Saccharomyces cerevisiae S288C: one gene and its partners. The protein of the gene in region 1 interacts with the protein of each later gene in a biochemical or structural test. Each region holds a gene or a part of one and is shown on either strand. Other genes may lie near its edges. The genes, in order: FPR3, PTP1 and LTP1.

Region 1 (11,958 bases):
TGCCCTTGATAGAAAGATAAGGAAAACACTACTAGATAATACGTCTCAGATTATCGGAAATATTCTTGAAAACGATGATAGGGCTCAATTGGATGATATAGCCAAGTCTTTGGAGCAATTATGGGAATTGGATACTAATATTAATAAGGCAGCCGATCGAAACGTTACAAATGACGATATAAACAATGAAAGCGTTTCTATTGATGACTTTTTGGAAGACGATAAAGAAGACAACGACACAGGTCGCATCATGACGACTGAGAGTAACAATCTGGCAAGAAAGAAGAAGGAGGATGAGTTTCACAAGGCATTAAGTAGGTTAAGAAACAGAATTTCAACTAAAGAAGATGACAAGGACGACATTAGATCTGACACATTAGTCACTGTACTAGAAAATTTGGATAGCATTACGGATTTGATGGAACTACCATTTTTGGCCCGCACATGTATCAGAACAGGTCATTACCAGGAGGCCGTCATGCTATACACACACACTACTTCCCTGAGGTCAAGATTCCCTGGTTCAACCATTGTGGATGAAGTTTGCGAAAAAGTTTTAAACGAAATTAGTACTACCATGTTATCCGGGCTGGTAAAATTACTGTCTACTAATGTATCAGTAAACTCACTAAAGAAAATACTACAGTACTTGAATTCAATTCCACCATTTGATGGAAAGACTAATAAATCATTATTAAGTGTGTTTTTAGCCATGAGATACAAATTCATTACCGATGAAATAGCATCATATCCTTTGGACGTTGAGTCTTCTAATGAATCTTTAATTGAAATGATGGTTAAGAGGAAAATTGAAGTCCTCAGGGAACATGTCTACATGTCCTTGAATGTCTTTCTGAAAAGCTTCTTGTATGATACAAATGACTTAGAGATTCCTTTCCCAGAGGAACTAGAAAGTACTGTGCTAAGGATAAATGGGACTAACGAAGAGAAAGAAATTGAAGAAAAGGAGAAAGAAACAAAGAAGGAAGAATATCAAAAACAAGATAGCGTAGCGAACAATGAAGAAGATGTGACAGAAAATAAATCGATAGAAGATGTACAAGAGGAAGTACAAGGCAAAGTGGAAGGCGAAGATGATGGAGCAGAAAGGAAAACAGAAAATGAGATAGAAAATGAAACAGTAAACAAAACAGAAGACAAGGCTGAAAAAGAAAAAGAGGAAGAAGTAAATACCAAAGATAACAAGGCAGAAAAAGAGGAAGAAGAAATTAATAAGGTTGAGGTGACCCCAGAAGAGCCAAGCAAAAGCATAGATAACAAGGCAGAAAAAGAAGAAGAAGAAATTAATAAGGTTGAAGTGACCCCAGAGGAGCCAAGCAAAAAGATTCGGACTTCAAAAAGGGAAAACAAAATACCTACAAATGCAGTCATGTTGCAATTCGTTGATAAGTGCATAACATACGTATTAAAAGACCTCACTCGTGGGTTAAATAGCATCAAGCTGAGTGACTCCGTTTGCCTGCAGTTGGTGTACTGTTCATTCCGTCTTTGCGACCTGAATCGAAACTACCACCACCTCTTCCTAAAAAAAATCAATGACACTAGCTTGTTTACGACCGAGCAGCTCGCCCGGGCAATTGACAAGAGAGCAGAACTGGCCTCTAAATATATATACTCCTAGTATAATATTGGCTCACTATGTATTTTCAAAATGACGATCGTCCGAAATTTCCATTTTTTTATTTTTTTTTTTCACTTCTTCGCCAGCGCGAGAAGGGGGAGAAACAACAATACGAGAATGTATGTATACCTTTACAACACACTGCTGCAGTCAGAAAGGGAAAAAGGGATAATTGTACCTTACATCCTTTAGAATTGCACTTACCTTTTCCAATTGCGATACATTTCACTTTGATAGACAACTTTGCTTTTTAGCGTTACTTAATTTAATCAGTTTTCTTCTTAACAATATAAAGAGCATCATTAGCTAGCTTTGTTTATTGACATACGCAATATTGCTAGAAAGAAAATAAGTAGAGCTACGCATTGAAAGTCAAGAAAAATGACTGGCATCAAAGCTCAAGTCCATCCCCCACCTGATAGTACCCTATTTCATGAGGAGGAGAAGAAGAAAGTAGGAGGCAATTTACCTCAAAAGGTCATAAATCAACAAGAAAGGGGTTCTGATCACGCTCCATCGGGTCACCATCAATACCACCAACTGATTAACCATGACGCAAATGACACAAAGACCTCAAATTCAGTTTCTGATGTGTCTAAAGGTCAGAAAACTGCTGACTCCAACCCGGAAGGTAAGAAACAGTCATCAAAAGACATATTTGTTGCCTCCAGCGCTCAAAAAACCAATCAATTGCCCGGTCCCAACCCACAGGGAAGCATAGGAGCCGTGCCATTGGAAGGTTTACGTCCGAAGGAATTCAGATCAGCACCATCTAGGAAGCCAAATAAATTCGACACTTCGATTACTAAGCCTGGCGTCTTAGACGACTTAGGCAAACTTGATGAAAAGGATATTAAGGAAAAATTTCACCTAGATTCCGACGACAAGTTATTTCCATGGCAAAATGTTGGTGAGTTCCATGCTTCAGGAAAGGGTTCGCCAAATACAAAGATGTCCAGGGTTATAAAAGCTTACATTCTGGAAAATTTTTATAACGATTGGTACTGTAATATAGCCACCGTTCTTGGAACTTGTTTCTTCTCATGGTTATTTGCTTACATTGGGTTTTCATGGTGGTCTATGATATTTATCTTCTTGGGAACTGCGACCGTTTACAACGCAGAATATACAAGATTCAACAGAAATATCAGAGATGACTTGAAAAGAGTTACAGTCGAAGAAACCTTGTCGGATCGCGTTGAATCCACTACGTGGTTGAATTCATTTTTATCAAAATTTTGGGTGATTTACATGCCAGTTTTATCTCAACAAGTCAAAGATAACGTTAACCCTCAACTGGCAGGTGTTGCTCCAGGTTACGGTATCGATGCGTTAGCTATCGATGAATTCACTCTGGGCTCTAAAGCTCCCACCATAAAAGGTATTAAATCGTACACCAAGACTGGTAAAAACACTGTTGAAATGGATTGGTCATTTGCATTCACCCCAAGCGATGTCTCGGATATGACAGCTACTGAAGCTAGGGAGAAGATCAATCCAAAAATATCTCTGGGTGTCACGTTAGGAAAAAGTTTTGTCTCTAAAACAATGCCTATTTTGGTTGAAGACATTAACGTTGCTGGTAAAATGCGTATTAAAGTTGAATTTGGTAAAGCTTTCCCAAATATCAAAATTGTTTCTTTACAACTTTTAGAACCACCTTTGATTGATTTCGCACTGAAACCAATTGGTGGTGATACTTTAGGTCTTGATGTTATGTCATTCTTGCCTGGTTTGAAGAGTTTTGTTAAAAACATTATCAACTCCAATATAGGGCCTATGCTATTCCCTCCGAACCATTTGGATATTAATGTTGAAGACATTATGGCTGCTCAATCAAAAGAAGCTATTGGTGTCCTTGCCGTAACCATTGCTTCTGCCGACTCTTTGAAAGGCTCAGATTTCATTACCAATACTGTCGATCCTTATATTGTTATGACTACCGAAGATGCTGTGCCTGGTACAGATGAAGAAGTGCGTACATCTATCAAATCAAATGTTAAAAATCCACGTTGGAACGAAACCAAATATCTATTATTAAACACCTTAGAGCAAAAGTTAAACTTAAAGTGCTTTGACTTCAATGATGTAAGAAAAGATACCGTAATTGGTGATCTTCAACTTGACTTGGCAGATTTACTACAAAACCCTGTTTTGGATAATCAAACTGCTGAATTAAGATCCGGTACAAAATCAAAAGGTATTTTACATTATTCCTTACACTGGTTCCCTGTGAAAGAAGATAAATCAGAGGAAAAAGCAGTTGAGCGTGCCGAAGCTAAGGCCAAGGGCAAGAAAGAAGATGAAAACGAGGACACTACTGAAAAAGAAGAAGACGAGAATGAAGAAAGTTCTCAAACTGATGTCGGGATTGCCAAGATCACTTTACAAAAGGTCAAATATCTGGATACAACCAGTTCTATGACCGGTAGCTTGAGCCCATGTGCTGAATTATTCATTGATGGACAAAAAGTAAAGAGCTATAGAACTTTGAGACGTATCAATGAGCCATCTTGGAATGAGACCATCGAAGTTTTGGTTCCATCAAAATCTAACTCTAAGTTTGTCCTAAAAATATTCGATGACAGAATGAATGGTAAGGCGCTGATCTGTGAGTATTCATCTTCTTTAGATGATATAATGACTACTTTAGACACTGCTCAAGAGTTTGTTAAAGGCTCACCACAAGGTGACATTTATTTGGATGTTTCTTGGAAATCAATTGAAATGACCGGAGCTTTTGCCGCTGCAAACTCTGTAAGCGAACCTATTGGTTGTATTAAGCTAGACGTTAAGGATGCCATTATCAAGGGTGACTTATCCGGTGTAGGGGATGTTGATCCATATTACACCGTATCGTTGAATAGACGTGTTCTTTACAAGTCCATATATCATTCTGATACGGATCATCCCATTTTTGACAACAGCACCTACGTTCCTATCTTCTCTCCAAATCAAATTTTGACTCTCGAATTTCATGATTATCAAAAGATCGGCAAAGACCGTTTCATTGGCTCTGTACAAATTCCTACATCAAATGTTTTCAAAAAAGATCCTAAATCAGGAAAATATGTTGGGAATAATGGCAAAGAAGAAATTTCAAAACTAAAATTAAAAGACCACGAACACAAAGTTACCGAAAGCATTGTCAATGTTTCAACAACATTTATCCCAATCAATCTGGTGTATTCCCCTGAGGAGTTGGTGAATGTTGAGAAACTAGAAAAGGAGTTGAAGGAAAAGAAGAAAAAATTCGAAGCTACCCAAGAAGAAAACGAGCAAGAGATGGAAAAAAATCCAAAGGAATGGGAAGTTGCCGAGATCGAAGACCCATTTGACAGCGATGAAAAAAAAATAAACAGGAAGGCCAAGTTATCTTTAAACGAGTTGATCAAGCAAAAATCTGGTATTTTGTCTATGCAAATATTGGAAGGGACTTTGAGCCCATCCTCTGCTTACCTAGAAATCTTAGCGGATGACATTTCGTACCCTGTATTCATTTGCATGAAACCATCTCAAGGTAAACTAAACTCGGAGATGGCAAATATTTTCATTAGAGATTTGAATTACAGTAAACTACATTTTAGAGTATCGAAGAAACATATTGCCAAAGATTCAGATGATGTCATATCCGAAACTTCCTATAGTACATTGAAGCTACTAAAGCAAGCTTACGAAGAGCCCATGTGGTTAAACTTCAATGGGTCTAAAATGAAGGTAAGATTTTTGTACACGCCCACTAGCGTGAAACTGCCTAGCAGTGAAAGTGTTGAAGACACTGGTTATTTGAATATAAAGCTTATTTCCGGACACGGTCTGAAGTCCGCAGATAGGAATGGCTATTCAGATCCATTTGTTCACATCTTTGTCAATGATAAAAAAGTTTTCAAATCGAACATTAAAAAGAAAACATTGGATCCCGTATGGAACGAAGATGCTAAAATACCAATCCTTTCAAGAAGTAAGAATCAAGTCATATTTAATGTTCTTGATTGGGATCGTGCAGGTGATAATGACGACTTAGGCCAAGCTTCACTTGACGTTTCCTCATTAGAAGTTGGTAAAACTTACAACTGGAATTTGAATTTAAACACACAAGGAAGTATCAAATTACAAGGTTCATTCAACCCAGAATATATCAAGCCAAGTTTTGATATCGTGAAAGGCGGTATCACTGATAAGCCGATGAAAATAGCCAGTGGTGCAGCCCATGCAACTGTTGGCATAGCTGGTACTGGTATAGGAGCAGCAACAGGAGTTGCCACTGGTGGTTTAAAGAAAGGTGGTCACCTTCTAAAATCTCTAGGTGGCAATCCAATGAAAAGAAGCAAGAGCAGCAATGGAAATGAGTCCAACGGTGCAAAAAAATCATCAGAGAAAAAATCTTTTGATAGGAGATCCCCAAGTAATTTGAATAGCACTAGTGTAACACCAAGAGCTTCACTAGACTATGATCCATCAGTACCTAACACAAGTTACGCGCCCGTTCAAAGCGCATCTCCTGTAGTCAAGCCAACTGACAACACTTCTAGCTCAAGCAACAAAAAAGATACCCCTAGTAGCAACTCTAGAGGACATTCTCGTGCAAGCAGTTTTGCGCGTACTTTAGCTCCTCATGGCACTTACAATGGTTTTATTACCGTGGTTGCTGCGGAAAACGTTGCCAAGCATGTTCAAATTAAGATCTCTTTAACTCAAGGTGGTAGACTAAAACACATATACAAAACGAAAAGCCAAAAAGCCAATAATGATGGTGTTGCCGTATTTGATGAAGAGTGCTCGTTCAAGGCTTCTCCCGAAGCCAATTTGGTACTGGGTGCAATTTCCCATCAAAGACTATCGAGGGACAAAGATCTTGGTATTGCTCAAATCAACTTGGGTGACCCTCAAATTCAACAAGATGGCCAAATTTCTGTAAAATTAGGAGACGGTCATCTGATTGTAAAGATTAATTACGGTAAAGACAAGAATGGTCAGGTACCTCCCGTGCCAGAAGTTCCTCAAGAATACACGCAGTAATAAACAGTGAAAACTATTCTTTTATACGCTCAATAAGGGCACATTTGGTGTGTTAACAGGTGTCTTTTCTGTGTTTGTTATAATTTTGCGCTATTATTATATAACGTTATATTTACTATAATATATTACAACATATATTACAACATATTTCAACGCTCTCCTGTTACTGCTTAGGGAGAAGAAAGAAATGTGAAGACTGCTATTAAATCCGTACATTATTAAAATGTATGGATTTGTTATATTTTTCTTCAGTTTTTTCCTTAACCAGATTCGAAAAGCGGCCCGCCTAGACCATTGCGGTTGCGGCTAAAGCGTTCTGGAGAGGGCTTCTCCGCTGGGCGGACAACAGAAGCGAGAGACACGTTTCCCGTCTGGGAGGACTCACCGGATTTGTCCAGTTTCCCACTGGAGTGTGCTTTGTTCCTTTTGCAAAATTTCGTTGGTATGGAGGTTATCGAATGGAAGGGTTACATGAATAGATTAAATGTACTACTCATTAAAGATTGAATATCAGTTTTACATTAGGCGAAACAACAAAGTAATAGCCATCCAACGAAATGAGTGCCCAAAAAGTATGTTCCTACATGTTAATTTCGAGGGGGAGATGTCAATTTACATTCACGAAGGCATAAGTTTTGAAATTTGATATGATGCCATCAATCTCAGACATATCCATACAAGAAACAATAAGATCAGGACGTCGAACAAAATAATACAATGAAAACTGATAAATGACGTTATACAGTGTACAGTGAGGATAAATGATTAAGGCAGTATACCTTTCAACACAATGTTAATACTATGAGTGAGAAGGTGAGCAAAGCAATAAGGTATATCGACCCTAGCTCATGATTATTTAGTTTCCAAACAAAGGCCCACGTTACAGTTTCAAATCGCTAGGCATAATCTCTCCCTATAAAAATTTATCACCATTCGCAAATCAAGAATACTAACATTAGTCGTTTGATATTTCTTTTTTCCATTTAGGCTCCAAAGTGGTATCCATCCGAAGACGTCGCTGCTCTAAAGAAGACCAGAAAGGCTGCTCGCCCACAAAAGTTGCGTGCCTCTCTAGTTCCAGGTACCGTCTTGATCTTACTAGCTGGTCGTTTCAGAGGTAAGAGAGTTGTTTACTTGAAGCATCTAGAAGACAACACTTTGTTGATTTCTGGTCCATTCAAGGTCAATGGTGTTCCTTTGAGAAGAGTCAATGCTCGTTACGTCATTGCTACCTCTACTAAGGTTTCTGTCGAAGGTGTCAACGTTGAAAAATTCAATGTCGAATACTTTGCTAAGGAAAAATTGACTAAGAAGGAAAAGAAGGAAGCTAACTTGTTCCCAGAACAACAAAACAAGGAAATCAAGGCTGAACGTGTTGAAGACCAAAAGGTTGTCGACAAGGCTTTGATTGCTGAAATCAAGAAGACTCCATTATTGAAGCAATACTTGTCTGCTTCTTTCTCTTTGAAGAACGGTGACAAGCCACACATGTTGAAATTTTAAATATAATTATTTTAACGAACTTCTATAATAATATATATGCAGGTAAAATTATAATTTAACTACAGTTTCATAAGTGCATTTGTATTGAGCATTGGTTTTTTATTCGCATATTTATATCTTCATTGCGGCAATCACCCAGAGAAAGGGCGTGAAAAGAAAAAGGAATACATTATTTCAAGTTCCTTTGATCTTTCCTATAATGTAGACTTTCTTGGCGCAAGACTTGGATGCATCATACAAAATACAAATTGTTAAGCAAAAAAGTGTCGCTCTGCTGTAAGCTTTGTGATGTTATATTTGATCGTATGGTGAGGAAAAACAATACACCTCATGTTATATAATGATCGTTGTTTTAGGTGAGATGTGGAAATAGAAGAGAGATTTTTAAACAAAAAGTAAATGGTTTTAAACGTTGGCAATAACAAGGCCTGCTCACAGCAAATAAAACGGGAATAGAACAGGAACGGGAATAGAACAAAGATAAGAAAATTGAAAGTAGAAAAGACAAATAGTGAGAAACAAAATGCAAGAGAAAATGCATCGCTTGAGCCCAATGTTCCTACCAATATTAAGGGGATTTCAGGTATCAAAGTCGCATTGACGTATAAAATACTCCAAAAAATGCGCTCTGTTTACTTTGTTATCTATGAAATGAGGAAAATGCAACCGGTGAGTGTAAAAGCATCCTGCAGGAATTTGTTACAACTTCATCTCAGTTACCAACATAGCCAACGGACGTCGATATTGTCCTTTACCCCACTGGTAGTGAAATACTTTCGAGTAAATGTCAGGACGTTAGAAATCATCCGAGTCATGCTTCGACTCCATGTATTTTTATTCTCTAAGTGTGCTTTGGAGTTTCCCCGCGAGTTCTCACAGAATTGGCTTTACTGCCAAAAGTTGAAGACAGCATAGTCATTGGCTTCGTCAAAAGATCTTCATTATTTAAAGCAAGCAATGATCAATTCTAAGACGGGTTAACAAAATATGGACAGAGCATCTTCAAGCAAAACTAATGCGGCAATGTTAAGCTTACATATATTCGAACGGTAATAACATCGATAATACGGTTATAGCCACCAACTCTGCATTATAGAAATGAGAAAAGCGCCATAGCTATTATTTAACGTAACTTACCAGAAGTCCTTGAGCAGACGATTGAGCATTGAATAAAAAATAAAATTCTTGTAATTCTTGGAAGGAAGAACGACACAAATAGATAAATGGCGTATTTTCTGAGCAATGAACTGTGTTCCATCAAAAACATTTTATCGCACACCATAGGCACTTAGAAAAACAAACCTTTGTGCCAGTATTTGAATGAAAACACTTTGGTTGAAATGTATTGTGAAATTAATCATCGAGCACTTTACGGTTGGCAACGACACATTACTGACGTTCTTTCGCCGATTTGTTACTTTAATATATTGTACAAAAATGCATCAAAGAACATAAAAGAGAGCGATCGCACAATCAAACTTCTTTTGGAAATAATCTGTCATCAATGCTCCAAACATTCTACTATCACCTGTTCATGATATTATGGGGAGAATATGCCAAATGTATATGACACATCGCATACTTTCTACCTTTTTCAACTGGCTTGCTTCCTCTACCTTTCACTAAAATCTGGATTGCATCTACATCTATATAGTCAAAACCGGCAAGAACAGAGATTATGATACATGCTTCATGTTCCATTGATTAGAATCCACTAGTATTAGCTCGCTGTTCAATTTTCAGCCCTCTACGGACTGTCGTCATTCCTAAAGGACGGCAAAATTTAAAAGTGAAGGTAAAATTTTTAAATTCGAAAAAAGAGCCTACTAACACGTTTCTATATAATACATAATTGTGTGAAAGTTCATACATAATTGAAAGCAAGCATCCAACCAGCCCAATATGTCTGATTTGTTACCACTAGCTACCTACAGTTTGAATGTTGAACCTTATACCCCGGTTCCAGCAATCGACGTCACGATGCCCATCACCGTTCGTATTACTATGGCTGCTTTGAACCCGGAAGCCATCGATGAAGAGAACAAACCATCGACTTTAAGAATTATCAAAAGAAACCCGGACTTTGAAGATGATGATTTTTTAGGTGGTGATTTTGATGAAGACGAAATAGACGAAGAATCCTCTGAGGAAGAAGAAGAGGAAAAAACCCAAAAGAAAAAGAAGAGTAAAGGCAAGAAGGCTGAAAGTGAAAGTGAGGATGATGAAGAAGACGATGACGAGGACGATGAGTTCCAAGAATCCGTCCTTTTGACTTTATCTCCGGAAGCCCAATACCAACAATCTTTGGACTTGACCATTACTCCAGAAGAAGAAGTCCAATTCATTGTCACTGGTTCTTACGCTATCTCCTTGAGCGGTAACTATGTTAAGCATCCATTTGATACTCCAATGGGAGTCGAAGGTGAAGACGAAGATGAAGACGCTGACATCTATGACAGTGAAGACTACGACTTGACCCCAGATGAGGATGAAATTATTGGCGACGACATGGACGACTTGGATGACGAAGAGGAAGAAGAAGTTCGTATTGAAGAAGTCCAAGAAGAAGATGAAGAAGATAATGATGGAGAAGAAGAACAAGAAGAAGAAGAAGAAGAAGAACAAAAAGAAGAAGTTAAGCCAGAACCTAAGAAAAGCAAAAAGGAAAAAAAGAGAAAGCACGAAGAGAAAGAAGAAGAAAAGAAAGCTAAAAAAGTAAAGAAGGTCGAATTCAAGAAGGACTTAGAGGAGGGTCCAACAAAACCCAAAAGCAAAAAGGAACAAGATAAGCATAAACCAAAGAGTAAGGTTTTGGAAGGCGGCATAGTAATCGAAGACCGTACTATCGGTGATGGCCCACAGGCTAAGAGAGGTGCCAGAGTAGGCATGAGGTACATTGGTAAGTTAAAGAACGGTAAAGTTTTCGACAAGAACACCAGCGGTAAACCATTTGCATTCAAACTTGGCCGTGGTGAAGTTATCAAAGGCTGGGACATTGGTGTTGCCGGTATGTCTGTTGGTGGCGAACGTAGAATCATCATTCCAGCACCATATGCCTACGGGAAGCAAGCTCTGCCAGGTATTCCTGCCAATTCCGAACTGACATTCGACGTTAAATTGGTTTCTATGAAAAACTAGTACACGCGCTCGTACGGATAGATGTTTATATATATTATTCTTTTTACATAATATTGTAACCTTCTGTATGTAAATCCGAAAACATTCTATTTCTTTTTAGTATCTATTGCTCTTTATAAGCTTTTCATTTTACTTTTCTCCGCGGATGATACAAATAAAGAAGCTGTGTTGTATAGAAAGAAATATATGGCGGCAAAAAAAGCGTTATCTTCTTTCTGTTCCTATTTCACTGAGTGCTACTGGATGGTCGTCAAGAAAGGTGAAGAAATCTTCAAAGCAATAAGAATTCAGACATTGACGTTAAATTAGATTATCGCCGCAGCTGTAATTGCGGTTATGGCCTCTAGTATTTAGTTCGATGTTAATGAAATAAAGCGCAAGCTGACTGTGAACGATAACCGCCAGGAAGGCTAGACACAGCTCTTCAGCTAAACAGTAGCCGGAACACATATACATTAGGGAACATTAGAAATAAGGCTCTCGTTGATCATCCTTGTAACTGAAAATTAGAACCGTTAAACGCTGCTGATTGATGGATTCCAGCCGTTCTCTTCCAACCCCTTTTACCCCGATTGTTCGTCCACTATCATGACTTATTATCCACTAAAGTGGCGTTGGCTGTACATTCGGGTGATGGTAGTATGGTGAGCACATGC
Region 2 (5,132 bases), on another chromosome or scaffold:
GGAGTGAAAGCAACGAAAGATGGGGTGACTCTGTTACCTTGTTCGTTGGCAATAATTTCAACGGAGGATTCGTAAGTAGCAACACAAGAGTAGGTTGTACCTAAATCGATACCGATAGCACCTTGGAAAACACCTTCAGCCATTTTGTTCAATTAAAATACTGTAATGATCTTGGGACATCTGAAAATCCAAAAGCAAGAAACATTTTTTAAAGAAGGAAAAGCAAAGCGACAATAACTAATTAATCTTTATATAAAAAGAGATGAGTACTACAAAAGAAACGTCGAGCGAAGATGAAAAATTTTTCTTTTTTTTTTTTTCAGTTGCGTGCTATAAAAAAAAAAAAAAAAAGATTCATCCATACTTCCCGTTCGAAATGATCATAAATAACTGCGGTGTATGGGCTATGTTCCCATGACAACGAAGCTAGAATATAATTATAAGGATGAATAAGTATTGTTATTGAAAAAATGCACAATTAGGAACTTTTATATAGCTGTCTATTGGTTCACGGAAAGACTGTTAAGATACTTGGCAGCATGGTAGATAAATAGGAACTGATCCTTTGTCTGAACCATTTTCATTCTTTGCGAGCGCAACTGTAACACGATCTGTTCGATCAAGTCCCGTGTGTACTCCTCTGTAGCCCTGTCTGAATGCCTTGACCGTTCTGTAATATTTTTAAAATCCAAGGTATCATGCATGAGATGATCTAGGGCAATGAACGTCCCCGTTCTGCCCACGCCTGCGGAACAGTGTACGATAATGGGGTTCCCGCGGGAATTCAAGCTGTGGGAGTGAGCGCATAATTCCATTATGGGTACTACTTCCTCTGGCTTGTTCATATCTTTCCAAAGGTCGAAGTAAAAGTGGTGAACAGTTTTGACAGGTCCTACAAGAGGGTCCGTGGGTGTGAGTTTGATATCGGTGACCGTATAATAGTCCTTCACCTTATGTACGTTAACAAACTCTATTTTCAAATCAGAGGGAAATTGAGTCATATCATTGGCGCCGCCCGGACTTTCCCATTTTGATGCTATTCTAACCGTATCGTCTACACCACCGCGAGGCCAGTACTGGTAGCACTTCTCCCTATTGTATTCTACCAGAGGCGTGACCATCACAATGACAATATTGTCTAAAGGACAATTGTGATAGCACATTTGCCAAAACTGATCCCAAGTTTTACGCGTGGGACCTTGAGTAGCAATATAGTAGCCCGGTTCGATGCTCTGCCCTGGCACGTTCACTTTGACATACGAGGCATTAATGTAATCATTCCCGGATAGAGTCTTCAAATGAACGCGGTTCCTCTCATACGGCATAATGTTAACGTATCTGTTTCTAGCATCGTTACGAGGTTCTATGCTGACCCCCAACGACCATCGTGAATTCACCGTTCCGTTTGTAGCTTCCCTTAATCTGCCGTCTTCTTGATTCTGTATGAACTTGAATTTACCCAATAAATCCGTGTCACGCTGTCTAATATACCATGGTGCAGCTGCCATCTCCACTGTCGCAAACTACTACTAACAAACGCTTTTCTTGATAACTCCTCGATGAACCCTTTTCCTCAATAAAATGTAAATATAGTTTGCCTTCCTCTTAATAGTGTGTACAAATGAATTTTTCTAATACTAAACGCCCTAAAAATGACCTAATTAAATATTACGTTAACCTAAAAAAGTACAAAGAAAAAAATGGAACACCTACAAATTATAAACAATAACCCTGTCGCCCAAAGTTAGGTTTCCGATAAGACTTTTCAGTGAACAAAATCTGGAAATGAAAGGCGATATAACATTATCAAAGATGATTATGTATAGATTGCGTGAAATACGCGCAGGAAAACGAGTTTAAGCGTCACTAACACTTTAATCAATTTAAAGTTCATTTTTAACTTGCTTTGTGCTCCACTAAGGAAAGCATGTACAGTATAGTGCTGGAATTGTAACAGGTCCTCATGAAAAGATATGAGCGAGATCGAAGTCCCACTCCTGATCCTGATATTGTGAAAGGTTCATACTCTCAAACATCACTCAGGTCACTACATGAACTTAACTATAAGAATCCTGCCGGTATAAGCGGGCTTAGCTTTGCAGGAAGCCCACAACAATCCGTGGCATCCTTATCGCAAATGCGGCTGGAAAATTTGGTTAAGGACAAACACTGGGAGGAAGTAGAGGACTTTGGGCTGGAAGAGCTGAGAGATGGGTTTTTTGATGCTGCTTTTACCAAGCCGGACAGCAAAGCTAGGTCTCCTAACAGCGACATCGATGACGACAATGGCGCTGCAAGGAAAAAACTGCAATCTGGTTTTACCAAGCTTTCCGAATATGTTTGGACTGCTATCTACAGGCCCATTATTCATTTCCCTAGAGATATTAGAAAAAATGGGGTATCCATATTCAAGTTTTTTATTGCTTATTTCATTGCTATCGTGATTTGCGTTATCAGGCCTTCTGGTAGGTGGATTGGCCATGAGTTCAGGTATTTTCTACCCATCGCAGTACTTATACATCATCCGGTCAGAAATATTGGTGTTCAACTGGAAATGACTATAAGCTCCATTATCGGCGCAAGTTTTGGCCTGGGATGGTCGGCTTTGGCATGGTACATTTCCACAGCGACAAAGCCGACCGCAAACTACCAGGGAGGAATTTTATTTCAGAGTCTGACTATGGCCCTCTTATTTGCCATCTGGCTAAGGTCTGTTTACCGTCGGTTCTTCTATTTCACAACTTCGTTTTCGATATCGATTATATTCACTCATACAGTTCGGTTGGCCTCATCCAAGTTTGATTTGAAGTGGCAAATTTTTTGGGATTTTGGAATCTCATATCTCTTCGGCCTTTTGCTATCTCTCTTGGTTTGTGTATGTGTATCACCACATAGTGGCAATGCAGAGTTAATGGAACATTATAACAAGTGTCTACAGACCACAAAGACCTTTTTAATGGCACTAGTAGATACTGAATTAATAAAGTCCAAAGAACAAATTTACCTAGCCCAAGTAAAAATGGTGAAAACACTAAACATTGATTTATCTCAAGGTTTTAGAGATTTTGTAAATCAGTTGACAATTTCCAGGTTTGACCTTCAATCGTTGAAGAGTTTAAGAAATTCTTTAACTGCCATGGAAACTTCTCTGAGAGTATTACCCATTGCACCCAAAATTTTTAATGATGATGAATTGAAAAAGATGTATGAAGAATTGGAGAAGTATAGATCGGATTCTGCGACCCTGAGCAAAGAAGCAAGCGCTAGCCCTCAATCTTCAGGAATTCCAACAAGAGAAAACACGCCCAGTGCCTTTAAGCCTATCGGTCCGGGGCTTTTAAAAAATGAAATCTACATTAATGCATTAAAGGCGTCCTTCTCGAAAAGCATCTTCAACTTAATACTGGAAATGATCTTCGTTTTGGAAAATCTATCAAGAGTACTAAAGAAATACGAGTCTCCAAATCAAAAAAACAACTTAGATGAGTGTGTCAAAATATTAAGTCACTCGCATTCTAAATTAAAGAGGAAAATTTACAAACTAGATGTTTGTTACAGGGATTTTGTGAATTCTAGTTTTTTTTCACAGGAACTGTTGAATGACGAAGAGTCTGTCGATATTTTCCTTTTTCTAAGATATTTGAGAAACTCCGCAAGGCAGCTAGTTACTGTTATCCACGATTGCCAAGTTTTGGGTGAGAATATTCACTGGAGAATTGCTCTGCCATCATATCCACTGTCTCGTGCGTTGACAAGATTGCCCAAACAATGTGTTCTCGATGAAGGTGCAGGAAATGTTCTTCATTATTTTGAGGCCAAACGTGATGTCGATGAAATTTTTGAAAGAGTTTATAACACCTACACGTCAAGACACAAGTATAACAAAGGCGAAGAAGAAGCGCTGAGACTTGATTCACAAGGTGGTGACGAAAAGTCACAGAATCGCAAAAACCACACTATTTCCATCAGAGCAATTGATCACAACGACTTCAATTTTCATACAACTCAAAATCCTTGGAGATTTAAACTATGGAAATTGAGTAGAATTTTATCTGGTGATGAATGTAAGTGGACACTAAAGATTACTTTTTGTATGATATTTTTGTGTCTACCAACTTGGCTACCTGAATCCTATCACTGGTACCAAGAATTTCATTGTTGGTGGGCCCCACTCACGTTTTACTTATTAGCACATAGAAGATACTCTGGTAACTGGGCGTTGGTAATGAGGAGATTAATCTGTGGTATAGTAGGTATCTTTTGGGGGTGGGCTGCCAACCAATCGAGACATTTTGGTAGTCCATACGTGGTTTGCACGTTTGCTGGTCTGATCGTGGTCCCATTTAGCATCAACTTTCTTGTCTATAGAAACACCAAATCGAGCTTCACTGCATTAATGTGCTTTACCATAATTGCTCTTGAACCATACAGCAAACCTAATAGACATTATAACTTAACCACCGCTGGAATATGGAAATCTACGTGGGTTACAGGCTTGGCACTTATTATCGGTATTTTGGTTTCGATTCCCATCAACTGGATAGTGTGGCCCTTTAGAGCTAGGACAGAACTAAGAGATAGTATGTCATCATTACTGGCACACTTGGGCCAGTCCTACCAAACCGTGGCGGACCGGTATTTATACAGGGATGCCGACGACGCACCTACTGATTTAACTTTCGCATTTTCCCACATTCGTGAAGTTAGACTGACTCAAAGTCTTGAAGCAATCAGGGAACTTTTGAAGAAAGCCCGTCATGAGCCAATCATTATTTCCAACTTCAATCCTGAGAAGTACGCAAGTCTAATCAATTCATGCCAATTTTTGTTATCTAAGATCATTGAAGCGAGAATTTCAGGTGCATTTTTTGAAATTTGGGATCAGGATTTTGATATTGAAACCACGAGAGCCTTACTATCGCTACGAAGAGATAGTGTCTCATCAGTGATTTTCGTTTTTTACATTTTATCCAATTGTTTCAGATCAAAAAACAAGATACCGCGATACTTGCCAAATCCAATTATGTCACGTAAAAAACTTTACCACTTCATCAAGAAATTTAGTGAAATGAAGGACCAATCACATTCGAATTTAAATTCAGGAGGCAATTCTATGGAGAAGAACCTATTCA
Region 3 (10,397 bases), on another chromosome or scaffold:
AATAAGTTCGGTAAAGATAGTAAAGCAAAATCTAAGAAAGATGATGATATCTATTCCAGAACCTCACTAGCCAGAATATTTATGAAATTTGATCTTGATACTTTATTTTTCATATTCTATCATTACCAAGGATCATATGAACAGTTTTTAGCTGCTAGAGAACTTTTTAAAAATAGAAACTGGCTATTCAACAAGGTAGATCGCTGCTGGTATTATAAAGAAATCGAAAAGTTACCACCAGGAATGGGCAAATCTGAGGAGGAATCATGGAGATACTTTGATTATAAAAAAAGTTGGTTAGCGAGACGTTGCGGTAACGACTTCGTATATAATGAAGAAGATTTCGAAAAACTGTAAACAGTTTCCTTTTACTTATATAATTCTCATCGTGATTTACTAGGTAAATGTAGTATTCAAAATCTCCAATTTGTACTCTTTAACTTCACCTTCACATATTATCTTTTTACTCGATGTAGACCGCACCATCATTACTTGCTAGCTTATAACTCTTTTTTTAAAAACTGTTTGGAGAAATAGGTGATTTGTTTGAAGTTGTACTCGAAATCTTGTATGTCACCATACCAAGGATCTTCAATAATGGTCTGCACAGTGCCATCATTAGTATTCCAATCACCAAAAAGGCAAACTTTAGCTTTAGAACCTTCAGGTTGTATTTTTTTTAGGTTATTAATGTTGGATTCATCCATACCGATTATATAGTCATATTCATCGAAGTGTTTGGTCTTTATTTGTTTCCCTTTATGATTAATCTTGACGCCATGTTGCTTACAAATGGACACTGTACGATGATCAGGGCTTTCCCCCACATGATAATTAGAAGTGCCAAATGAATCAATCTTGTTGAATCGATTTTCTAGATTAGCCTTTTCGACTTCATGTTTGAAAATGGCTTCCGCCATTGGTGATCTACAGAAGTTACCCAAACAAATGAATGCGACCGATATTTTTGGTTTTTCAATTGTCATTTTCGTGTTAACTTTCCCTTCTCAGTTTTCTATCGCTTATCAAAAATCACAGGGTTTCAATTAGCCTTTTAGGAGTTATATTCTTTATTGGCTTTATACTTGAATGGTGTGATTCTCTCGAAGGGTTTAACATTCAAGCTCGGCCATGTGCTGGTACAAGGAAAAAGAAAGAAAAAGTAATCATTGAAATTTTTCTATAATACGTACACCTATAATATAAGAAGGAAAAGGACTGAGTGTTTGGAATATTGTTAAAAGTTTGAAACTATTTTTTTGCTTAATCGTTTATAAAAAAAGTTGTATTTAAGTTGTATAAAGTTTTATTTCATTTTTTCACAAATAATATCATATCAAATCTGATGATCTACGATCAGAATTTAGAAAGCTTTTTTCAAAGGAGAAATTAGCTTGTCACCCTTATAGAATGCAATGGTCTTTTGAGCTCTTTCAGCAACACCTTCTGGGGTGAAACCGAAGAACTTGAAGACTTCTGGTGCCTTACCGGAGGCACCAAATCTGTCAATACCGAAGGATTGATGAGCGTATTTGCCCCAACATGTGGTAGCCAAAACTTCAACAGACATGATTGGAACGTTGTCTGGTAAGACTGATAGTCTGTATTCTAGGGGTTGTTTGTCAAAAGTGAAGAAATCTGGTAGAGAAACAACACGAGCCTTGATGTTCTTTGCGGCCAAAGTCTTAGCAGCTTCAACACTCAAAGACACTTCGGAACCAGTAGCCACTAAAATAATATCTGGGTTAGCAACATCTTGTAGTACGTAACCACCCTTAGAAGCGCTTTCAATAGAGCTACCTTCCAATTGTGGCAAGTTTTGTCTGGACAAAGCAATGATACTTGGAGTATGCTTGGATTCTAAAGAGTTCTTGTAGGCGGCAGAAACTTCGTTACCATCAGCTGGTCTCCAAACTTGAATGTTTGGTAGGGATCTGAAGTGTGCTAAAGTTTCAATAGGTTGATGTGTTGGACCATCTTCACCGACACCGATAGAGTCATGTGTAGCAACCCAAATAACTGGGTGGCCAGACAAAGCGGACAATCTAACGGCACCAGCAGCATAAGAAACGAAGTTCAAGAAAGTACCACCGTATGGTTTGTAGTTGGCACCGAAAGCTGAAATACCGTTCATTATGGCACCCATAGCGTGTTCTCTAATACCGTACCTAATGTATCTACCAGAGTAGTTACCTGAACCGGAAGAAGGAGGTTGGAAGTCAAGGGCTTCCTTCCATCTGGTCAAGTTAGAAGGTGTTAAATCGGCAGAACCACCAATCAACTCTGGCAATTGATTGTAAACATCCTCAAGAACAGTTTCTGATAATTTTCTAGTGGCCACGGCAGAGTCCTTGGCGGTGTAAGTTGGCAACTTAGATTCCCAATTTGCGGGTAGTTGGCCGCTCAATCTTCTAGCCAATTCAGCACCTAATTCTGGGAATTTCTTTTGGTATTCGCTGAACAACTTGTTCCACTTGTTGTTGGCTTCGACACCTGGCTTTAAAATTGTCTTTTGGTAGTGGTCGTAAACTTCTTGTGGAACAACAAAGGACTTGTCTGGGTTGAAACCGAATTTGCTCTTTAGTTGTTTAACATCATCTGCTTTCAATGGGGCACCGTGCACAGAGTGAGAGCCGGCATGCAAGGAACCGTAACCAATGGTTGTGGTCATTTTGATCAAAGTTGGTTTGTCCTTGGATAACTTAGCTTGAGCAATAGCCTTGGCAATACCGGCTAGATCTTCGTTACCATTTTCTACGTACAAAACTTCCCAACCGTAGGCTTCGTATCTCTTAGCAACATCTTCATCGAATGAGATACTGGTAGCACCATCGATAGTGATCTTGTTGTCATCGTAGATGGCAATCAAGTTACCCAATTTCAAATGACCAGCCAAGGAGGAAGCTTCTGAAGAAATACCTTCTTGCAAACAACCGTCACCCAAGAAAACATAGGTGTAGTTGTCAGACAAGGTAAAGCCCGGCTTGTTGTAAGTGGCAGCCAGGTTAGCTTGAGCCATGGCCATACCAACAGCGTTGGAGATACCTTGACCTAATGGACCGGTAGTAACTTCAACACCTGGCAACTCAAATTCAGGATGACCTGGTGTTCTGGAACCCAACTGTCTGAACTGTTTCAAGTCTTCAATAGACAGATCGTAACCAGTCAAATGTAGCATAGAATACAACAAAGCGACCGCGTGACCGTTAGACAAGACAAATCTATCTCTGTTGATCCAGTCTGGGTTGGTTGGGTTCATGCGCATTTGACTCCATAGAACGTGTGCAGCTGGTGCCATACCCAATGGAGCACCTGGGTGACCTGAGTTGGCCTTGGATACGGTGTCCACAGCCAAAATTCTTATGGTGGAGACGGCTAGCTTATCAATGTCAGTGAATTGAGTCATTTTGTTTGCTAAAGAGGTAACTATGTAGAGTTGCTTGGGATGAGCTTCCTTCTCTGTTGTACTTCAGTTTGATCTGAAACTTAAAAAACGAAATTTAAAAGGAAGACAACGGTGAGAACAAGAAATGAATGAATCAAGAAGTCACGATCAAGTATGTAGGTAAAAGATCAGGGGGGAGTATGTACGTAACCAAAAAGATTGGGAAAGAGTTTATATATGAATCATGCCTACGATCGTACCTTCTTGGCTTTCCCAAGAAAATTTTTCATCTCTCGAACTTCTCGAGAGATTGCGAACGGAACGGCAAACGCCGCCGGCATTTCTCGGAAAGAAGACTAGAAAATAAATGACGGTGGGAAAAAAAGCAAGAAGCTACGGTTACCCGCAGCGGCACTATAGTAGATGGGCTTTTAAGCCCGTTTTCAGGGTCAGGTAATATGTAATGTAGTAGCACTTAAACTTGCTAACCATAAATGACCAAAATGCAAGTTTGCTGTATTTTAGTCCCGTTGGCGTTTTCGGATGCTTCATTCCCCAGAGAAGTGATGTGTATGCGAAAAATGTCTCAATGCAGCTTTGGCTGCTGCGGAACTTATCCGCTTTGTAAGCACATCTTGTTTTAATGTGTATGAATTTTTATATTTGGTTCGAAAATTATGACATTCGGCCAAGAAACTTTCAGAGGAGCTGTGTATTAGCAGATGGTAAGCGCACGTTGAAAATGCTGAATATTATTAATTTAGACATACCTTGATGGCTGAACAGTAGTCAGAAAATTAAAAAAAAAAAAAAAGCGCTTATTACGGCGTATACACGTAACTATATAGACGTAGATCATTGAATATTGATATGATATAATATTTTCCCCGGGATTGCAGAATACTGACACGCCTTTTATTTATCGTTCATCGTGTATTTCGAACTTGTCCTCAAACGGGCTCTCAGTGCGACTGCCCTGGGTGCTCTCGCGTATCGATTCTGGAATTTCCAAGTCCAGTATAAAACTTCCTTCTTCATCGTCATCTTCGTCGTTATTACCATGGCTTGCCTCGCTTTTTGCCATGTGTGAAAGATCATCCGCCTCTGTCTGTTCTTCAATGACATCCAAGTCCTGAATCTCCTTATCACTCTCTTCCTCTGCGATTTGAACCAGTTTAGGTTTAGCACGAATAGCAGTTATGAGGTTATCGTCTGCGTCCTTATTGAGTACCTGGTTATGCTCGTCATCTTCGTCATCCAGACCATCCAAGATGGAAGAACCTAAGGTTATATGTGACCTGATATCACCAGCTGCATTTTGTCTCTTAGAGCTCGAGCGTAGTTTTGATTGCAGTTTGTCGGTACTCAAACCGCTTGTCACACCAGGAATGTAGGCAATAGGCAAAATATTAGAAGCCCTTGTACGAGTGGTAGATGCTGAACTTCTGTTTCCCGGCACGTTGAGAGTTGGAGGTACCAGTGACGTATTGAACAGGGTGTGACTTTCATCTTTTCTCATACCGCCATCATCCTCATCGTCTTCATCATCATCGTCTTCATCGTCGAAGTATTCCTCTTCATTCCCGTAACTTTGCGATGCCTCTTCCAATTTCAAAGCTTTATTTTTTTGCCTTTTGGGCTTCCAATATCTCTTGTTGATGAAATACAACGCCACCAAGGCAATAAGCATCGCACCACCTACAATACCCACGGTGAACCCCACAATCAACGAGGTTTTCTCATTTGAATTACTGGAACTAGAACTAGAGGAGGAGGAAGATAAACTACTCAGTTGTGAATCGGACTGTTTCGCACAGTATGTGGATGGGCACTTGTCACATGTTAATGAAGTCATAACACAATATTCTCCTGAAGCGCAAACAGGGCATGATGCAGTTGAATCGCAAACAACACATCCGTCGCTGCCTCTAGTTGCAGAAGTTGAAGAGGTGGCTGTGCTTGACAAGGATGAACTTGCAGAAGCCTTGGAGGAGCTCGACATTTTTTGTTTGATTTTCAGAAAACGAACGTAACCAGTTTGATAAATGTGGTGCCTCTCTTATTCGGCCTGGGAAGCAGTGCAACAATAGCGCACATTATAATCATTTGATTTTAAATTCACCCCAGGACAATGGGGCATTATTTTCTGTTGAGAGGGTAACGCGTTGTTTATTGAGAACTTAACGCGTTTCGATTTCAAGAATGCACTATAGTGCGGAAATGTAAACAGAATTTATTGATACTTGGCATTATTTGAATTTTATTTATATCTTGCCCGAACATGTCTTGACACAAGCAAGGAACGTTTGCTCATTAACCTTTTACACGGTTATGCTTGTACCAAAGGCTGATCACCTGGTTCGGGCACAAAACAGAGTTTAGTTTCCAACTGTGTTTCCTTTCCCGGATCAGATGATGGTAAGGGAACGGTAACGGCGTCTTCATCTTTACAAGGTTGGCCCTTCTTAAGATTTTGATGCTTTGTAGTCCATTTTTTGAATCTTCCTTGCAAAAGATAAATTTCCCTTCCCAAATTATTTCTAAGTGTGTCCCACACTCGTGGCACGTTTTCTTGATTTTTGTCGCCAAAATTAGCACTCTTATGGAAAATACGGAACATACCACCGCTGTTATTTTTAGAACTACTCTTTTCAGAGCCGAGCATATCAAGAGAAGTCCTGACATATCGGTATTTCAAAAGAGTCTTTTTATTCTCTTGCAAAGGAGGCCCGCTAATAATGCTTTCCGTATCATCAGTTACTAGCTCCTTTTTGATATTTTTCCCAAATGTGGGACTTATGGAGGTCTTCTCAGGTTCAGAAGCGGAGTGAATTTGGCAGGTTTCATCAATTTTAACTAATGTATCGTCATTTTCAAAATCGTCAGGTGTTAAGGGTGATATAATATTCAATCCATTCATAAAATCATCAATATCACTAAAATATGGTGTCTTGCCCCGTTCCATCAAGTCCTCTCCATATCCATATACTTTATCATCGTTTACCTCTTCCAGATTATTATCAGATGGTAGGGCTAATTTACTCTTATTTTTTCTAAACCACTTATTCAACCTCTGTCTCCAATCACGATCATAGCGGCCATGCAATTGAGAAAGACTCTTCAGCTGCGTATTTGAACTGCTTTCACTGTCAGAAAAATTCTTATTGGTTTTAAACCAGCCAGAACAAGATCGGAAAAAAGTATCACTTTCAGTAACTTCTTTAATCACTTTTTCCAGCCTGGCAATTTCTTGGTCAGTTTTATCGTGAATATGATCAACTCTGACACCTAATTGTGCAGTCTCATTGATTAACCTTCGTAAATCTTCGCTTTCAGTCAAATGCGTTGTTATTTCAGCTTCTTCGTCAAACTGGAAGGTTCGTTCATCATCAGACCTAAGCTCTGAGGGGCTTAATACTGTTGGTAAGACTCCAGAAATCGTTTGCATGATTGATATTTTATCTTTTTATATGATTTTGTTTTTTAGTTATACTTACGCTTGCTACCCTTACTTATGAAGTCAGTCTCTTTTGTTAGCTTTTATTACAACACTTATGAGAAATTTATAAAAAAATCCCAGGAATGCTTTCACAAATTATCCATTCTACATAAAATCTTTTTTTATAGTATTACTTTTTTGTGACATCAAAATGAAGCACTAAATAATTATAGAAAATATTCAGCAAAAAAAAAGAAAAACCTTCTTCTGAAAAAAAAAAAAAAAAATTCAAAAAAAGACACCTTTCTACCTTGGCAGTAAATTTCAAATTAATTATTTACCAAACTGTAGTTCCCGCTCACTAATCCTTTCTTATACTTATTCACATTACTGTCACTTTGCGGCTGTATTTGGCCGCGTTTCCCTTTCGGGTGCAGGTACAAGAGGTATCCGAAACAAGAAGGGTTAAGTTTTGAAGAAAATGCCAAGTATTTCAATTTCAATAATAAGAACGCAAAACTACAGGAGACTCTTACTAAGCATACTACTTCTCAAAAAAGGGCTTTATTTTATAGAACATAAAACATACTGTAGGATCGCACACTGGAAAATATGTTGAAACGATCATCTCTAATATATCTATCATGTGTCCTAATCATTACCATACCAATACTTTTGCATGTATACAATGGTCCAGGACTGTCCCATGAAGCCAATGAACATAGGGCTTCTCACAAGCAAAAAAGAACGTTAGCAAATCCGGATAAACCCAAAAGCGAAAACGATGAAGATCTATTTTGTGCGGTAACCAACCCAGTCACCGGATCATACATAGATCTATCACAGCTATCTTCAACTCCCAACAAATTAAGGGAGGGCCAAAAACAGATTTCTGGCAATAACAAGCATGAATCCTCCAAGACGAAGTGGTCAGTGAGAGGTTGGGGCTACGATACAAACTTCACGTTAGGCATCTGCTCTAGTCCTGTCGGAGAAGCTGAGTCGCAACAACTGTCCAATCTAACGGGCGCTTTTTACGTAGACCAGTTGAACGAAAATAATTTAGTATCGATTGGAGACTTCAGTACAAGGCCTGCGTTAGTCGGCGGCTCTACTGCCAAGAAATTAACTCTCAAATACGAAAACGGCTCTATGTGCCCGAACGGGAAGGACAAGAAGGCAACTTTATTGAATTTTGTCTGCGATAAAGAAATTCAATCAAAGGCCCAGATATCATACATTGGAAACCTACACAATTGCTCGTATTTCTTCGAAGTCCGCAGCATTCATGCGTGCCCCACCTCAAACAAAAAGAATGAAGTTAACGTTTTGGGTATCTTCATCGGTATCTTCGCTATATTCTTTTTAGTCGAATTTGCGGGGAGAAGATGGATCTATGCTAAACTAAATAGGCATTTGAAAAACGACGACGAGTTACACGACATATCGCCATCTTTAAATGAGCAACCACACTGGGACCTCATAGAGGACGGGTCTCGCTGGAGTAAATTTTTCAACGGGATAATTAAGACGACAAGAAGGTTCACGAAATCTTTAATGAGGTCTTTAGTCAGAGGCAGGAACAGCCGTCAAGGGGGCATAAGACTACGGTCATCCCCATCTGCCTCTTCGTCCAGCCTTGCCAACAGGGAGTTCTTCAGAGACATGGAGGCTCAAAACGAAATTATTGACAGCCTAGACATCAATAGTCATACAACAGAAAGCGACCACCCAACTTTGGCTGATAATAGCGTATAAACAATGCATACTTTGTACGTTCAAAATACAATGCAGTAGATATATTTATGCATATTACATATAATACATATCACATAGGAAGCAACAGGCGCGTTGGACTTTTAATTTTCGAGGACCGCGAATCCTTACATCACACCCAATCCCCCACAAGTGATCCCCCACACACCATAGCTTCAAAATGTTTCTACTCCTTTTTTACTCTTCCAGATTTTCTCGGACTCCGCGCATCGCCGTACCACTTCAAAACACCCAAGCACAGCATACTAAATTTCCCCTCTTTCTTCCTCTAGGGTGTCGTTAATTACCCGTACTAAAGGTTTGGAAAAGAAAAAAGAGACCGCCTCGTTTCTTTTTCTTCGTCGAAAAAGGCAATAAAAATTTTTATCACGTTTCTTTTTCTTGAAAATTTTTTTTTTTGATTTTTTTCTCTTTCGATGACCTCCCATTGATATTTAAGTTAATAAACGGTCTTCAATTTCTCAAGTTTCAGTTTCATTTTTCTTGTTCTATTACAACTTTTTTTACTTCTTGCTCATTAGAAAGAAAGCATAGCAATCTAATCTAAGTTTTAATTACAAAATGGGTAAAGAGAAGTCTCACATTAACGTTGTCGTTATCGGTCATGTCGATTCTGGTAAGTCTACCACTACCGGTCATTTGATTTACAAGTGTGGTGGTATTGACAAGAGAACCATCGAAAAGTTCGAAAAGGAAGCCGCTGAATTAGGTAAGGGTTCTTTCAAGTACGCTTGGGTTTTGGACAAGTTAAAGGCTGAAAGAGAAAGAGGTATCACTATCGATATTGCTTTGTGGAAGTTCGAAACTCCAAAGTACCAAGTTACCGTTATTGATGCTCCAGGTCACAGAGATTTCATCAAGAACATGATTACTGGTACTTCTCAAGCTGACTGTGCTATCTTGATTATTGCTGGTGGTGTCGGTGAATTCGAAGCCGGTATCTCTAAGGATGGTCAAACCAGAGAACACGCTTTGTTGGCTTTCACCTTGGGTGTTAGACAATTGATTGTTGCTGTCAACAAGATGGACTCCGTCAAATGGGACGAATCCAGATTCCAAGAAATTGTCAAGGAAACCTCCAACTTTATCAAGAAGGTTGGTTACAACCCAAAGACTGTTCCATTCGTCCCAATCTCTGGTTGGAACGGTGACAACATGATTGAAGCTACCACCAACGCTCCATGGTACAAGGGTTGGGAAAAGGAAACCAAGGCCGGTGTCGTCAAGGGTAAGACTTTGTTGGAAGCCATTGACGCCATTGAACAACCATCTAGACCAACTGACAAGCCATTGAGATTGCCATTGCAAGATGTTTACAAGATTGGTGGTATTGGTACTGTGCCAGTCGGTAGAGTTGAAACCGGTGTCATCAAGCCAGGTATGGTTGTTACTTTTGCCCCAGCTGGTGTTACCACTGAAGTCAAGTCCGTTGAAATGCATCACGAACAATTGGAACAAGGTGTTCCAGGTGACAACGTTGGTTTCAACGTCAAGAACGTTTCCGTTAAGGAAATCAGAAGAGGTAACGTCTGTGGTGACGCTAAGAACGATCCACCAAAGGGTTGCGCTTCTTTCAACGCTACCGTCATTGTTTTGAACCATCCAGGTCAAATCTCTGCTGGTTACTCTCCAGTTTTGGATTGTCACACTGCTCACATTGCTTGTAGATTCGACGAATTGTTGGAAAAGAACGACAGAAGATCTGGTAAGAAGTTGGAAGACCATCCAAAGTTCTTGAAGTCCGGTGACGCTGCTTTGGTCAAGTTCGTTCCATCTAAGCCAATGTGTGTTGAAGCT

Evidence for each region.
Region 2: of the proteins of FPR3 (region 1) and PTP1, one has a biochemical effect on the other in vitro, tested with the Saccharomyces cerevisiae proteins (one study listed by BioGRID).
Region 3: the proteins of FPR3 (region 1) and LTP1 form a complex in vitro, tested with the Saccharomyces cerevisiae proteins (one study listed by BioGRID).

The regions. Positions count from the first base shown.
Region 1 is NC_001145.3:119,433-131,390, reverse strand, and holds FPR3 (peptidylprolyl isomerase FPR3), read left to right. Parts: upstream 1-10,066; coding exon 10,067-11,302; downstream 11,303-11,958. Other genes in the region: Golgi transport complex subunit COG8, read left to right, coding at 1-1,642; TCB3 (Tcb3p), read left to right, coding at 2,024-6,661; 60S ribosomal protein eL6 RPL6A, read left to right, coding at 7,219-7,233, 7,649-8,164. UniProt on the Saccharomyces cerevisiae protein: Proline isomerase that belongs to an abundant class of enzymes that catalyze the cis-trans isomerization of X-Pro peptide bonds and can accelerate the refolding of proline-containing polypeptides. Specifically binds nuclear localization sequences.
Region 2 is NC_001136.10:39,076-44,207, reverse strand, and holds PTP1 (tyrosine protein phosphatase PTP1), read right to left. Parts: upstream 1,509-5,132; coding exon 501-1,508; downstream 1-500. Other genes in the region: Hsp70 family ATPase SSB1, read right to left, coding at 1-143; BRE4 (Bre4p), read left to right, coding at 1,964-5,132. UniProt on the Saccharomyces cerevisiae protein: Is not required for vegetative growth.
Region 3 is NC_001148.4:691,433-701,829, forward strand, and holds LTP1 (tyrosine protein phosphatase LTP1), read right to left. Parts: upstream 987-10,397; coding exon 501-986; downstream 1-500. Other genes in the region: CCR4-NOT core subunit NOT5, read left to right, coding at 1-357; transketolase TKL1, read right to left, coding at 1,364-3,406; OPY2 (Opy2p), read right to left, coding at 4,305-5,387; YPR078C (uncharacterized protein), read right to left, coding at 5,715-6,833; MRL1 (Mrl1p), read left to right, coding at 7,437-8,582; TEF1 (translation elongation factor EF-1 alpha), read left to right, coding at 9,162-10,397. UniProt on the Saccharomyces cerevisiae protein: Acts on tyrosine phosphorylated proteins, low-MW aryl phosphates and natural and synthetic acyl phosphates.